3 linked regions of the Macaca fascicularis genome follow. Each later gene encodes a partner of the first gene's protein in a complex. Links are inferred from orthologs where the notes say so. Each region holds a gene or a part of one and is shown in the gene's direction. Other genes may lie near its edges.

Region 1 (5,353 bases):
CTGAAGTGAGATGCTTAGGTGTGATGTATAAGTGAAAAATTTATGTTTTTGTTAATTACTCCCCTGATTAGTGATTTTTTAATTTCCCCTCTTTTTCTCATTTTCTTTTTAATGAAATCTTGTATTTTGAGAGGTAATTAAGACCTTAGTATTTAGCATCATTTTATGAGAATAAAAGGAGGTGGGAAAGGTCAGAATCAAAATGACATGTTGGGAAAAATGTCCATTCTAAGTTCATTTAAAAATGAATATTGGCTGGGCACGGTGGCTCACACCTGTAATCCCAGCACTTTGGGAGGCCAAGACAGGCAGATCACCTGAGGTCAGGAGTTCGCGACCAGCCTGACCAATGTGGAGAAACACTGTCTCTATTAAAAATACAAAATTAGGCCGGGCGTGGTGGTTCACGCCTGTAATCCCAACACTTTGGGAGGCTGAGGTGGGCAGATCACAAAGTCAGGAGATCGAGACCGTCCCTGGCTAACACGGTGAAACCCCATCCCTACTAAAAATGCAAAAAATTAGCCAGGCGTGGTGGCAGGCACCTGTGGTCCCAGCTACTTGGGAGGCTGAGGCAGGAGAATGGCGTGAACCCGGGAGGTGGAGCTTGCAGTGAGCTGAGATCGCGCCACTGCACTCCAGCTTGGGCGACTGAGGGACTCCGTCTCAAAAAAAAAAAAAAATGCAAAATTAGCGGGGCACGGTGGCTCACACCTGTAATCCCAGCACTTTGGGAGGCTGAGGCGGGCGGATCACGAGATCAGGAGATCGAGACCATCTGGCTAACACGGTGAAACCCCATCTCTACTAAAAATACAAAAAAATTAGCCGGGCGTGGTGGCGGGCGCCTGTAGTCCTAGCTACTTGGAAGACTGAGGCAGGAGAATGGCGTGCACCTGGGAGGCGGAGCTTGCAGTGAGCCGAGATTGTGCCACTGCATTCCAGCCTGGGCAACAGAGCGAGACTCCGTCTCAAAAAAAAAAAAAAAAAAAATTAGCCGGGCGTGGTGGCGCATGCCTGTAATCCCAGCTACTCGGGAGGCTGAGGCAGGAAAATCACTTGAACCCGGGAGGTTGTGGTGAGCTGAGATTGTGCCGTTGCACTCCAGCCTGGGCAAGAAGAACGAAAGTCCGTTTCACAAAAAAAAAGCATTAAAAAGATAGCATTACTAGAATTATAAGTACTATATATTCTACAGGGAATAACAAGATAGCAAAAATAGAAACCCTTTTTGCTTTCTCTGCATTGTATGTTCCTCTGTAGATACCTAGAGATGCTGCTCGAGTACCTTCAGGACTACACAGATAGAGTGAAGCCTCTCCAAGATCAGAATGAACTTTTTGGGAAGATTCAGGCTGAGTTTGAGAAGAAATGGGAGAATGGAACCTTTCCTGGATGGCCGGTGAGCTTCAGTGGGGTGTGAATGATGGACATGCCAAGGAATTGAAGTAATTATTTTCCTTTATCTTGAGCTTCCACTTTAGGGCATTAGGTATCAATTCCTTGGTATCACTTGTGACAATGAGGTATTCCCTGCCAAGTATGCTATGTTTTTTTGTTTGTTTGTTTTTCTTTTTCTTTTTTTTGGAGATGGAGTTTCGCTCTTGTTGCCCAGGCTGGAGTACAATGGCAGGATCTCGGCTCACCTCAACCTCCACCTCCTGCGTCAAGCAATTCTCCTGCCTCAGCCTCTCGAGTAGCTGGTATTACAGGCACCCGCTACCACACCCAGCTAATTTTGTGTTTTTAGTGGAGACGGGGTTTCTCCATGTTTGTCAGACTGGTCTCAAACTCCTGAGCTCAGGTGATCTGCCCACTTCAGCCTCCCAAAGTGCTGGGATTACAGGCATGAGCCACCGCACCCGGCCGTATGTGAGGTTTTTTTGTGTGTACTTTGGAGCAAGACTGTCAGGGTCCACTTGCCTTTGACTGTGCCCAGATTTTCACCAATCACATCATTACTGTTACGTGGTTCCTGCCAACCAAGAGCCTATCAGATCATATGTTAGGAATCTACATTCTCACTTCTGGGGATAAACATGGGTTTTTCCTGAACTCTCCAGGGAGAGAATGTGGACCAACCTTACCTTCATCCTAAACCTGGTGGTTTGTTTGTTTGTTTTGTTTTGCTTTGTTTTGTTTTTTGGGAGACAAAGTCTCCATCTGGCTTCTAGTCTGGAGTGTAGTGGCATGATCATACCTCACTGCTGCAGCCTCAACTTCCTGGGCTTAAGAGATCTTCCTGCCTTGGACTCCTGAGTAGCTGGGACCACAGGCACATGCCACCATGCCCAGCTAATTCATGTGTTTTTTTTGTAGAGATGGGATTTCACCATGTTGCTCTGACTGGTCTCTAACTCTTGAACTCAAGCAATTCACCCATCTAGACCTCCCAAAGTGCTGAGATTACAGGTGTGAGCCACCACGCCTGGCCTAAACCTGGATCTTAATAAATACCATATTGTTCTTTCCAGAAAGAGACAAGCAGTGCACGCCTGGCCTAAACCTGGATCTTAATAAATACCATATTGTTCTTTCCAGAAAGAGACAAGCAGTGCTCTGACCCATGCTGGAGCCCATCTTGACCTCTCTGCATTCTCCTCCTGGGAGGTATGTTTCCTTCAGCAGTAGTACTGTTCTTCCTGTCTATTTTTCTATCTTTAAAGACTGCTCTGCTGTCTTTAATACCATGGTTGTGTTGTGATAAGGCACTATTTCTTGGGATCAAGCATCTACAAAGAAAGTAGCAAAGTAAAAAGAAAAAAATTACTACATGGGAAACTGAAATAATCATTCTAACTACATTAAGCTGTAGTAAAGTAAATGGAACACTACCAGTATGGTTAAGTCTGAAGATAATTACAGATTCAGTCCTCTGGAGAGTTTAGACTTACTGTCAGATTGGCTATGAAATGTGTGGTCCTGCCACAGCCTCAGGAACACCCACCCTCTGGCCTGCATTTGGGGTTTCCCAAAAATCTGTTAATGTAATATTGTAATTTTTCTCTTCTTTGTACAGGAGTTGGCCTCTCTGGGTTTGGACAGATTGAAATCTGCTCTCTTAGCTTTAGGCTTGAAATGTGGCGGGTAAGGAATGGTTTTTCTATCAAAACTATTCAATTTGCTGTGTGTTTGCACAGTCTTCTAAGTAGCTCTAATTCCATTTTTTTTCTGTTGCTCCACACTGCAAAAACAAGCGAGCCTCTGTGGTAAAGTAACCCTGAAATCCTTTGCCATCCTGTCTCCTTAGGACCCTAGAAGAGCGAGCCCAGAGACTCTTCAGCACCAAAGGAAAGTCCCTGGAGTCACTTGATACCTCTTTGTTTGCCAAAAATCCCAAGTCAAAGGGCACCAAGCGGTGAGTGGCTGGGGTAGCACTGCTGCTTGTGGCTTTTAAATGTTATTCCCATGCCGAATTTTTAACCACAGTGGAGACTTTAAAGCCTGCTTTATCCCCGTTATTGGTCGACAGAGATCCAGTCTGCTCTTTCTCTTTGCTAATAGAGAATACTATCACTGTTAATATAAACAAAGGACTGTCTGTATTCATCTGATTGAGAGCACATCAAGTTTCTAAGTTTGAAACCGTGTTCTTGGCACCTTTAATAGGTTATAGAGGCTAAAAGGCTAAATAGGTTCAAGAACTATTTTTCTAAGCTTATTTTTGGTAAAGTTGAATCTAATTCTTGAGCTACATACTTAGACAAGGTATTTTCTTTTTTTTTTTTTTTTTTTTTTGAGACAGAGTCTCACTCTGTCGCCCAGGCTGGAGTGCAGTGGCCGGATCTCAGCTCACTGCAAGCTCCGCCTCCCGGGTTTACGCCATTCTCGTGCCTCAGCCTCCCGAGTAGCTGGGACTACAGGCGCCCGCCACCTCGCCCGGCTAGTTTTTTGTATTTTTTAGTAGAGATGGGGTTTCACCGTGTTCGCCAGGATGGTCTCGATCTCCTGACCTCGTGATCCACCCGTCTCGGCCTCCCAAAGTGCTGGGATTACAGGCTTGAGCCACCGCGCCCGGCCTAGACAAGGTATTTTCTTTTTTTTTTTTTTTTTTTTTGAGACAGAGTCTCACTCTGTCACCCAAACTGGAGTGCAGTGGTGCAATCTCAGCTTACTGGCTGGAACCTCCACCTCCTGGGTTCAAAGGATTTTCCTGCCTCAGCCTCCTGAGTAGCTGGGACTACAGGTACACACCACCACATATGGCTGATTTTTTGTATTGTTAGTAGAGATGGGGGTTCATCATGTTGGCCAGGCTGGTCTGCAGCTCCTGAGCTTAAGTGATCCACCCGCCTTGGCCTCCCAAAGTGCTGGGATTATAGGTGTGAGCCACTGCGCCTGACCCAGGGTGGTTTTTTTTTTTTCTTTTTGAGATGGAGTCTCGCTCTGTTGCCCAGGCTGGAGTGCAGTGGCACAATCTCGGCTCACTGCAACCTCTGCCTTCTGGGTTCAAGCGATTCTCTTGCCTCAGCCTCCCGAGTAGCTGGGATTACAGATACGCAACACCACACTGGCTAATTTTTGTGTGTTTTTTGTTTTTTTGTTTGAGACAGAGTCTTGCTTTGTCGCCCAGGTTGGAGTGCAGTGGCGCAATCTCAGCTCGCTGCAACCTCCACCTCCCTGGTTCAAGCGATTCTCTTGCCTCACTCTTCCAAGTAGGTGGGATTACCAACATGCGCCACCATGCCTGGCTAGTTTTTGTATTTTTAGTAGAGACGGGGTTTCACCATGTTGGCCAGGCTGGTCATGAACTCCTGACCTCACGTGATCCAACCGCCTCAGCCTCCCAAAGTGGTGGGATTACAGGCGTGAGCTACCGCGCCTAGCTAATTTTTGTATTTTTAGTAGAGAGGGTTTCACCGTGTTGGTGAGGCTAGTCACAAACTCCCAACGTCAAGTGATCGCCAGCCTCATCCTCCCAAAATGCTGGGATTACAGGCATGAGCCACCGTGTCTGGCCCAGTATTTTCTTAATGTACTTTTTTTTCTAATTCTCACAACAACCCAGAAAATTAGTTGTTATCCTGAGTTTTTGCAGATAAGGACTCAGAAAAGTTATGGAATGTGTCCACTCTCATAGTTCTAAGTAGCAGAGTCAGGATTTGGGCCTAGGTCTACCTGCTGCAGAGCTTGCTCTTACATACCACATTTCCTTTGTAGATTATAATGATGGCAATGTAAGCAGTCTTGATATGTCCTTCATCTTCTAGGTGAGGTCATAGAGGAAGCCTCCATGCATTCTGAGAAATACCCTCAGTATTTGTCAATAGAGTCCTGAGATGAACAGAGCATTTGCTTTCATAGCATAGTATTTCTCATGTGCTTATAATTTTTAATGCAGTTGTGCAATAAA
Region 2 (5,353 bases), on another chromosome or scaffold:
ACACCACTTAATATTTTTTAAATCTCTGCCTGTGCTGGAACGCTTCACCCACATGCATACCTGCCTGTCAGTGTTCCCCTTGTCTTTTAAGCCAGCCTTGTATCCTCATCTGTGGTCCCTACCTCCTGAATTCCTATAGATTTAGATGATCCCTACAGATTTTTAGGCTTTCCTAGGAGCAGAACTTACTTCCCCCCAAAACTAAATCAGGGAAGATGACTGAGACATAAAAGCATAGTGCTTGGGGGCAGTTCATTTTTAAAATTATTTTTATTTTTAAATTTATTTTTTTGAGACAAAGTCTTGCTCTGTTGTACAGGTTGGAGTGCAGTGGTGTGATCATGGCTCCCTGCAGCCCCAACTTCCTGGACTCAAGCTATTTCTGCCTCAACCTCCCAAGTACCTGGTGGGACTATAAGCGCATGCCATCATGCCCGGCTAATTTTTGTGGTTTTTTAAATAGAGACAGGATTTTACCTTGGTGCCCAGGCTGGTCTTGAGCTCCTGAACTCAAGAGATTCTCCCACCTCAGCCCCCCAAGTAGCTGGAACTACAGGTGCGTGCCACCATACTCAGCTTTTTTTTGGGTATTTTCAATAGAGTTGGTGTTTCCCCATGTTGCCCAGGCTGGTCTTGAACTCCTAGCCTTAGGTGATCTGCCCGCTTCGGCCTCCCAAAGTGCTGAGATTACAGTCGTGAGCCACTGTGCCCAGCTCGTATCTTTTTTAATGTAGAGAATAAACTACAAATAAAACTCCATCATTAGAGATCAGGTAACTATATTTTTTAGGGTACCTGGGTTCTGCCCGTTTTGCACATAGTTTGGCTTATGTGTGCATCTCTGTTCAATTTGACAGAAATTTGTAGGTCCCCTATTTGCTGTCTCTTGCATTGTCAAAGTTTTCCAAAACTGAGGTGATTTTTATTCACAAAGGCATCCACTTTATTTTATGAAGCACAGTCACTACAGATACCATATATGTTCAGGTAATTGCAGTGTTCACAACAAATTTGGGATTGGGCGCTTTATTATCATTAGAGTGATTAAAAAAAAATCTTGACAATCGTTTGTGTTTCATTGGTGAGAACTAGAATTGCCATGAATTGTGGTAGGGTGTTGCCAAATGGGAAGGCCCTTCCCGGATCTCTCTGTCTGCAGTGCAGTTTTCTAGATTAGGAGGCTGTTGTTTAATGTTGCCTAATGCCAGCGTTAGAGCTTCAGGGATTGATGTGTTTACTGACTGCTCAAAGCCTATTTCACCACCAATTTCTAGGTCCTGAGTGAGTATTAAGTAACTGCCTTGCTTTTCTGTCATAGCATTTTGGCATTAGAGAAGCTCGGTGCTGTCTTCAATCAAGTAGCCTTCCCACTGCAGTACACACCCAGGAAATTTGTCATCCACCCTGAGAGTAACAACCTTATTATCATTGAAACGGACCACAATGCCTACACTGAGGCCACAAAAGCTCAGAGAAAGCAGCAGATGGCAGAGGTAATGAGACTAACGTTCAGGGGTTCTGTTAAAAGATTTGTGAAATTATGTTGAAAAGTTTAAACTGCTCAGCACTTTTGGAGGCTGAGATGGGAGGATTGCTAGTTTGAGACCGGCCTGGGCAACATAGCAAAACCGCACCTCTATTAAAAATTTTGAAAGATAGCCTGGTGTGTTGGTGCACTCCTGGTATGTTGGCACACTCCACTGCATACCAGTGGCACTCTGGACATGAGACTCTGTCAAAAGTTTAAACTCCTGTAATTGTTGTTATATTCTTTGTTTTTAAAGATCTAGGCTCTTTTCAGCTTCTTTAAGCAGAGGCCTTTGCCCCAAAATACTTCATGTTAGAGCCTTTCTTGTAACCCAGGACTATACTCTGACCTCCATTTATTCACAATTAAGTTCCCTCTCTGAAACAGAATTCTCCAGTCTTTGAGCTTCCAAAATAGACTGTATTTCCTGGATTTGGGCCCAAAGGAGACAGCTTTCATGTTCTCCACAATACCAGCTCTTTCTAGAACTCATTGCCTAGCAAAAACCAAATAGCTAAACCACATAGAACTGTATCCAGCCTTAAAGAGTGGAGACAGAGTAGTCTTAGTAGGGGAAATCAGATGGGTTGGATTAAAAAATGGAGTTTCTGGCCGGGCGCGGTGGCTCAAGCCTGTAATCCCAGCACTTTGGGAGGCCGAGATGGGCGGATCACGAGGTCAAGAGATCGAGACCATCCTGGCTAACACGGGTGAAAACCCATCTCTACTAAAAAATACAAAAAAAAACCTATCTGGGTGAGGTGGCGGGCACCTGTAGTCCCAGCTACACGGGAGGCTGAGGCAGGAGAATGGCGTGAACCCGGGAGGCGGAGCTTGCAGTGAGCTGAGATCCGGCCACTGCACTCCAGCCTGGGCAACAGAGCGAGACTCCTTCTCAAAAAAAAAAAAAAAGAAAAAACCCCTTGGAGTGTTCTTGCTACCTATCCTCTTCTCAGCCAGCCCCTACCTCTGAACATGCCAACTCAGTTGTTTGGTTTTTTGGGTTTAGGAAATGGTGGAAGCAGCAGGGGAGGATGAGCGGGAGCTGGCCGCAGAGATGGCAGCAGCATTCCTCAATGAAAACCTCCCTGAATCTATCTTTGGAGCTCCCAAGGCTGGCAATGGGCAGTGGGCCTCTGTGATCCGAGTGATGAATCCCATTCAGGGGAACACACTGGACCTTGTCCAGCTGGAACAGAATGAGGCAGCTTTTAGGTAAGGAGCCCAGGACAGTTCAGGGTTTGGTAGCCTGGAACAGGAGCTCTCTGGGTTTTGACGAAGGCCTTACTCTTGCCTCTTACTCTGTGTGTAGTGTGGCTGTGTGCAGGTTCTCCAACACTGGTGAAGACTGGTATGTGCTGGTGGGTGTGGCCAAGGACCTGATACTGAACCCCCGATCTGTGGCAGGGGGCTTCGTCTATACTTACAAGCTTGTGAACAATGGGGAAAAACTGGAGTTTTTGCACAAGGTAGGAATCAGCCAGTGAGTGGTTCTCCTAGATCTTAAGTCCTATTGAATTCTCTTACTTTTGCTTATGTTATGGGTCAGGTCTTTTGGGGACCAGCTCCTTGATTCCAATCCATCTCTTACCAGCACATGGAAAATCCTGGGGCCTTCTAGCTGCGGTGATGCTCTTGTGCCTGTGCATTCCACAGTAAGGCTTTGTGCTAACCACCCATAATGGGGAGATGGATGCACATTGAATCAGTCCCTTTCTTACTGTTTTAATAAGTGGGCAACAATTTGTGACCAAAATTCAGCAGTTTAAATAATTAATATTCTGGCTGTGTGCGGTGGCTCACACCTGTAATCCCAGCACTTTGGGACCCGCCCGACCAACATGATGAAAGCCCGTCTCTACTAAAAATATAAAAATCAGCCAGGCATGGTGGCATGTACCTGTTATCCCATCTACTTGGGAGGCTGAGGCAGGAGAATCACTTGAACCCGGGAGGCGGAGGTTGCAGTGAGCTGAGATTGTACCATTGCACTCTAGCCTGGTTGGCACAGTGAGACTGTCAAAAAAAAAAAAAAAAAAGATTTAGTGTTCTTTTCCATCTGCCTTCTCTGGGAAGTTACTGTTTAATGGGTACAGAGTTTCAGTTTGGGAAGATGAAAAAAAAGCTGGAGATGATAGTTACACAACAGTAAATGTGCTTAATGCCACTGAAGTGTATACTTAAAAATGACTGGGCATGGTGACTCATTCCTGTAATCCCAGCACTTTGGAAGGCCGAGGTGGGCGGATCACCTGAGGTCAGGGGTTCAAGACCAGTCTGGTCAATGTGGTGAAATCCCATCTCTATTAAAAATAAAAAATCAGCCAGGCATGGTGGTGGGCGCCTGTAACCCCAGCTACTCCAGAGGTTAAGGCAGGAGAATTGCTTGAACCTGGGAGGCAGAGGTTGTACTGTGCTGAGATTGCGCCACTGCACTCCAGCCTGGGCGACAGAGTGAGACTCTGTCTCAAAAAAAAAAGGATTAAGATGGTAAACTTTATGTTATGTCTGTTTTACCATAATTATTAAAATAAAAATAATATTCTCCTCCACACTGACAGCATGTGGATTCCTTCAACCCTACCATAAGGGGAGTATCCTCTAAGAAATACTTCATAGACCCTTTTGCGTATAAAATTTGTCTCTCCTTTACAACTGAGATGTCACTAGGCTGGGTGCAGTGGCTCACGCTTGTAATCCCAGCATTTTGGGAGTCTGAGTCGAGCAGATCACTTGAGCCCAAGAGTTTGAGACCAGCCTGGACAATGTGGTGAAACTCAGTTTCTACAGAAAATACAGATAATTAGTTGGGCGTGATGGCACATGCCTGTAGTCCCAGCTACTCGGGAGGCTGAGGTGGGAGGATCACCTGAGCCCAGGAAGTCCAGGCTATAGTGAGCCGTGATTACGCCTGCCACAGCCCTCCAGCTTGAGCGACAGTGAGATCCTGTCTCCAAAAAAAAAAAAAAAATGTCATTTTCCACTAGCATTTCTTTCCTGTCCCTCCACAAATTACAGTCACTTCTTAGCTACTAAGGCTTCACTATTATTTCATGAGGCCAGTTAAACCAAGCACAGGCTCTGGGCAGCTGTCATCAGGTACCAGAACTTCTTGTCACTTGTAGCATTGATCCCTCTGCTGGGTGAATGCAGCATGTGGGACCTGTTCACCCCAACACGCTGATTCATTAGCAAAATAAGATCACTGGTGTGTTTCTTAATGATAGGCTCCTGTGAAAGAAGACATTTCTAGGCGGAGAGGTGGGGCCTGTGTCTGGCTGGCATTTGTAATAGCTGTATTACGTGCTTTTCCTCTATAGACTCCGGTGGAAGAGGTCCCTGCTGCCATTGCCCCATTCCAAGGGAGGGTGTTGATTGGTGTGGGGAAGCTGTTGCGTGTCTATGACCTGGGAAAGAAGAAGTTACTCCGAAAATGCGAGAATAAGGTAAGTGTGCTGGCGTTGGTGCTGAGATCTAGCTCACATGTCAAGGGCGGGGGCATTGGTGGGGTGGTGGGCATTGAGTTTTAAAATCTTACCTTTATTAGGACTAGTGTTACCCCAATTCCAGCTTCAGAATTATGCCCCTTTTTTTTTTTTTCCGAGATGGAGTCTCGCCCTGTTGCCCAGGCTGGAGTGCAGTGGTGCAATCTCGGCTCACTGCAACCTCCACCTCCCGGGTTCAAGTGATTCTCCTGCCTCAGCTTCCCACGTAGCTGGGATTATAGATGCACGCTGCCACGCCTGGCTAATTTTTTGTATCTTTAGTAGAGACAGGGTTTTACCATGTTGGCCAGGCTGGTCTCTTAACTCCTGACCTCATGAT
Region 3 (3,979 bases), about 86 Mb from region 1:
CAGGACATCCTGGTCATGGACACTCACATCCTCACCCATTCCCACCAGGTGGGATGCCCCATCCAGGTAGGTGTGCTTTGTTGGGAGGGAAGAGCTTGGTAGAGCATCTCTGTTACCTCTCACCCTGCTGCCCTTTGTTCCTCAACAGTAACAGTTTCAGAGTTTCCTTTCCTTCAGACATTCTATTATAAAAACATACAAAATACTCTCTAACATCCACCTCCCTGTATCCATTTCTTAAGTTTTTCTGACAAGAAGACTATACTTGCTGGTTTTTATTTCTTTAACCTTTAGTTCCATTCTCTTCTCTGACTCCAGCTCAAAGTGGTGACCTAATTGCCAAATCTCAGGGACACGTCTGCTCCTTATCTAGTTTGACCTCTGATGTACTTGAAACTAGTCGTGTCCTCCTGTTTGAAATTCTCGTCTCTTTTTGCTTTTGCTTTTCTAGATCCTCCACCCCTCTGACTCCTTAATCTCAGCTACCATGATAGACTCTTGTCTACTTGTGCCTAGATTTTTGTGCTTGTTTCTCTTTTCTGCATATATCTATAGTTTTAATTGGGCATATACTGATGCCTCCTAGATCTGTATCTCTAGTCCATAGCTGTTGACATTCCGGATCCTTAATGCTTTAATGCTGCTGCTTAATAGATAGCGTCATTTTTCTGTCCCTCTCCTTCAAACCCATTCTTTCTCTAGCAGTCTTTTTTTTCAGGTGCTTAATTCATGAATCTGAGAGTGATGTTTGACTGCTCCCTATCACCCCACTCTTAATACCAAGTCTTATTTAATATCAGTGGCATCTCTCCCCATGGCCAGTGCCCTAGTTCAGTCTCTCATTCCCTCATTATTTAACACTTAATTTATTGTAGTAATCTCCTTCCACTTGGACTCCAGTTTTCCCTAACTTCGATCTACTTTCACAGAGTAGGTTTTTTAAAACACAGATGTGCACACACTTGCTCAAAATGACTCTGTTGCTCCCTTTTACCTACAGAGTAAAACTCAAACTCATTACCATAGCATTCACAGCTCTTTATGAGCTGGCCCCTGCCCCTCATTTCTGTAACTGCATTTTGCTCCTGATTACTGAGTTAACTGGCATTTCCTGGAATATATTGTGCTGTTTGACACACCTGTAATCTTTCTGCTTGGGATGCTTTCTTCCCATGATCTTACCCTCCTGAAGCATTCATCCTTTAGAATTAGATCTTGGCTTAGACAGTATGTTCTCTGCTACTTTCTCAAATCCTATCAACAGAGTCATTACTCCACTTGTTATATACTTCAGCATTACTATTACAGTACCTAAATCATGGGAGAAGCGAGCGTAAGGAGTTGATTGAGTAATTGGTTGGTTTGTGCTGTTGGAATAGGGTCAAGGATAGGGAGCACTTTTTACCACTCTTCTTTTTTTGTTTGTTTGTTTGTTTGTTTGGTGATGGGGTCTCACTCTTTCACTCAGGCTGGAGTGCAGTAGTGTAGTTTTGGCTTATTGTAGCCTTGATCCTCCCATCTCAGCCTCCTGAGTACCTGGGACTACAGGCACACACCACCATGCCTGGCTAATTAAAAGTATTTTTTGATAGAGATGGGTTCTCACTGTGTTGCCCAGGCTGGTCTTGAACTCCTGGGCTCAAGTGATCCACTTAGGCCTCCCGAAGTGCTGGGATTATTGGCATGAGCCACTGTGCCCAGCCAGCCTTATTTTCTGTACCCTTTTTTCTGTATAGTTCTCTTTCTGATGTCACTTTCTTTCTAATTTTGTTCTTTTCTCTATTTTCTTTGCCTTCTCTTTGTCTCTTTTCTTCTTGTGTCTGTTTTATTTTCATAGGGATGTCTCAGATGCAGCTGGCACACCATGGCCCTCATGGCTTAGGACATCCCCACGCTGGACCCCCAGGCTCTGGGGGGCAGCCACCACCCCGACCACCACCTGGAATGCCTCATCCTGGACCTCCTCCAATGGGTATGCCCCCCCGAGGGCCTCCATTCGGATCTCCCATGGGTAAGTCGTCTCTAGCCACCTCCCTCATCTGCACCTATCATGTTCTTACAGCTTCCTGTAGGCACATCCCTTGTCCCGTGCCCTTACTAACTTTTCTTTTACTCCTTGCAGGTCACCCAGGTCCTATGCCTCCGCATGGTATGCGTGGACCTCCTCCACTGATGCCCCCGCATGGATACACTGGCCCTCCACGACCCCCACCCTATGGCTACCAGCGGGGGCCTCTCCCTCCACCCAGACCCACTCCCCGGCCACCAGTTCCCCCTCGAGGTCCACTTCGAGGCCCTCTCCCTCAGTAAATTCACATTTTTCCTTCCTCCTGTTACATCTTCCCAATATCTTTTCTATTCCTTGGACCAATCAGAGATGCTGTAGCTCCTTGGGGCTAAGGTACTAATCCCTTTTAGCACCCCCAGCCCATTCCCCTTTTTAATGTAATTTTTTCCACAGGAGGTATTTCTTTTTTATGTTGGTCCTGAGTATTTTGCAAATGCACAGAGAAAATAAAACTAAACTGCTTGTTTATTTGTGGTGTTTTCCTTGACAACAGTAACTTTTTTCTTTAAGAAGAGATGTCAGAGTATCATGAAAAGAATGGTAAGGTAGGAGTAGGAGCAAGGGTGCTCACTCCACATTTTAAAGGCTTGTTCTGTAATGTACTGTTGCAGTTGCTGAGCTCTGCTGTGCACTAGAGTAATTGTTTCCTTACATAGAGCTTATCTTCTAGTTTGGAAGATAGGGGGACCCAATATCTATAGTGTAGGATCATCGTGTTTTTTTCTTTTTTCTTTTTTTTTTTGGAGACATGGTCTTGCTCTGTTGCCTAGGCTGGAGTGCGGTGGCATGATCACAGCTCACTGCACCCCCAACCTCCCAGGCTCAGGTGATTCTCCCACCAAAGCCTCCCAAGTAGCTGGGATCACAGGTGTATGCCATCACACCCAGCTAATTTTTGTATTTTTTGTAGAGGTGAGGTTTTGCCATGTTGCCCAGACTGGTTTTGAACTCCTGGGTTCAAGCGATCCCTCTGCCTCAGCCTCCCAAAGGGCTGGGATTACAGATGTGAGTCACCTCGCCCAGCCAGATTATTGTTTTAAAGTGAGAACAGATGTACCTGGAGATGTCTGGCAAAAATGAAGTAACATGCACTAAGCAATTTATTGCAGCACCGTTATAATGGCAGTAGATTGGAAACAACTCACATCTCCATCAGTAAAGGGACGGGTTGAATAAACTGATAAATTCATGCAACAGAGTACTGTGCAGCTGTAAAAAGGAATGGGGATGATCTCTACATACTGCTGTGGAGAGATCTCCAAGTGAAGAAAAATAATGTGTATAGTGTGCTACCTTCTCTAAGGGTGGCATATATATTTTCTATTTACTTAACGTTTTTAAAAATGGGTAAACCAGCTACTCAGGAGGCTGAGGCAGGAGAATCGCTTGAATCTGGGAGTTGGAGGCTGCAGTGAGCTGAGATCGTGCCATTGCATTCCAGCCTGGGCGACAGAGCGAGACTCCAACTCAAAAAAAAAAAAAAGGGTAAACCAAATACTAATGGAAATTGATAACACTGGTGAGGGAGGGGATATTGAGGGAAGTTGGATTCTCTCAGTATACTGTGTTAATGTGTTTTTCATTTGGAACAATATAGATGTCTTACATAATACAAAACAAAGTTAAAATGAGTAAATGGAGACAGTAAATGTTCCATTTTGTTCTGTTCCTACAGATGTCTGTAAACAGTCATCTCATAAGGAGTTTGTATTTCAATTTTTTTCTCATTCTCAGTCCTTCCAAACTTGATTTTCACATTTAATCTGAGTTTAAAGACTTTTCAGTAGACCAAATCCAATAGCCTTTTTTTCCCCCACGTTCTTTGCCACATTGATTCTGTTAAGTCACCCCTTTCTTGACGTGCCCTCTGGCTTATGTAACCATGAACTTTACTAAATTCTAGGCAAGAAG

What was found. Proteins that work in one complex are often made in the same cells at the same time.
Region 2: SF3A3 (region 1) and SF3B3 share a complex: the UniProt entries of both Homo sapiens proteins name them as parts of the 17S U2 SnRNP complex. The link is inferred for Macaca fascicularis from reciprocal best matches to the Homo sapiens genes SF3A3 and SF3B3.
Region 3: SF3A3 (region 1) and SF3B4 share a complex: the UniProt entries of both Homo sapiens proteins name them as parts of the 17S U2 SnRNP complex. The link is inferred for Macaca fascicularis from reciprocal best matches to the Homo sapiens genes SF3A3 and SF3B4.

What each region holds. Positions count from the first base shown.
Region 1 is NC_088375.1:196,935,578-196,940,930, forward strand, and holds part of SF3A3 (splicing factor 3A subunit 3), read left to right. Parts: intron 1-1,263; coding exon 1,264-1,402; intron 1,403-2,541; coding exon 2,542-2,610; intron 2,611-3,019; coding exon 3,020-3,087; intron 3,088-3,250; coding exon 3,251-3,358; intron 3,359-5,353. UniProt on the Homo sapiens protein: Component of the 17S U2 SnRNP complex of the spliceosome, a large ribonucleoprotein complex that removes introns from transcribed pre-mRNAs.
Region 2 is NC_088394.1:69,773,424-69,778,776, reverse strand, and holds part of SF3B3 (splicing factor 3B subunit 3), read left to right. Parts: intron 1-1,318; coding exon 1,319-1,493; intron 1,494-2,537; coding exon 2,538-2,743; intron 2,744-2,840; coding exon 2,841-2,997; intron 2,998-4,848; coding exon 4,849-4,974; intron 4,975-5,353. UniProt on the Homo sapiens protein: Component of the 17S U2 SnRNP complex of the spliceosome, a large ribonucleoprotein complex that removes introns from transcribed pre-mRNAs.
Region 3 is NC_088375.1:111,355,309-111,359,287, forward strand, and holds the end of SF3B4 (splicing factor 3B subunit 4), read left to right. Parts: coding exon 1-66; intron 67-1,837; coding exon 1,838-2,011; intron 2,012-2,122; coding exon 2,123-2,310; 3' UTR 2,311-2,536; downstream 2,537-3,979. UniProt on the Homo sapiens protein: Component of the 17S U2 SnRNP complex of the spliceosome, a large ribonucleoprotein complex that removes introns from transcribed pre-mRNAs.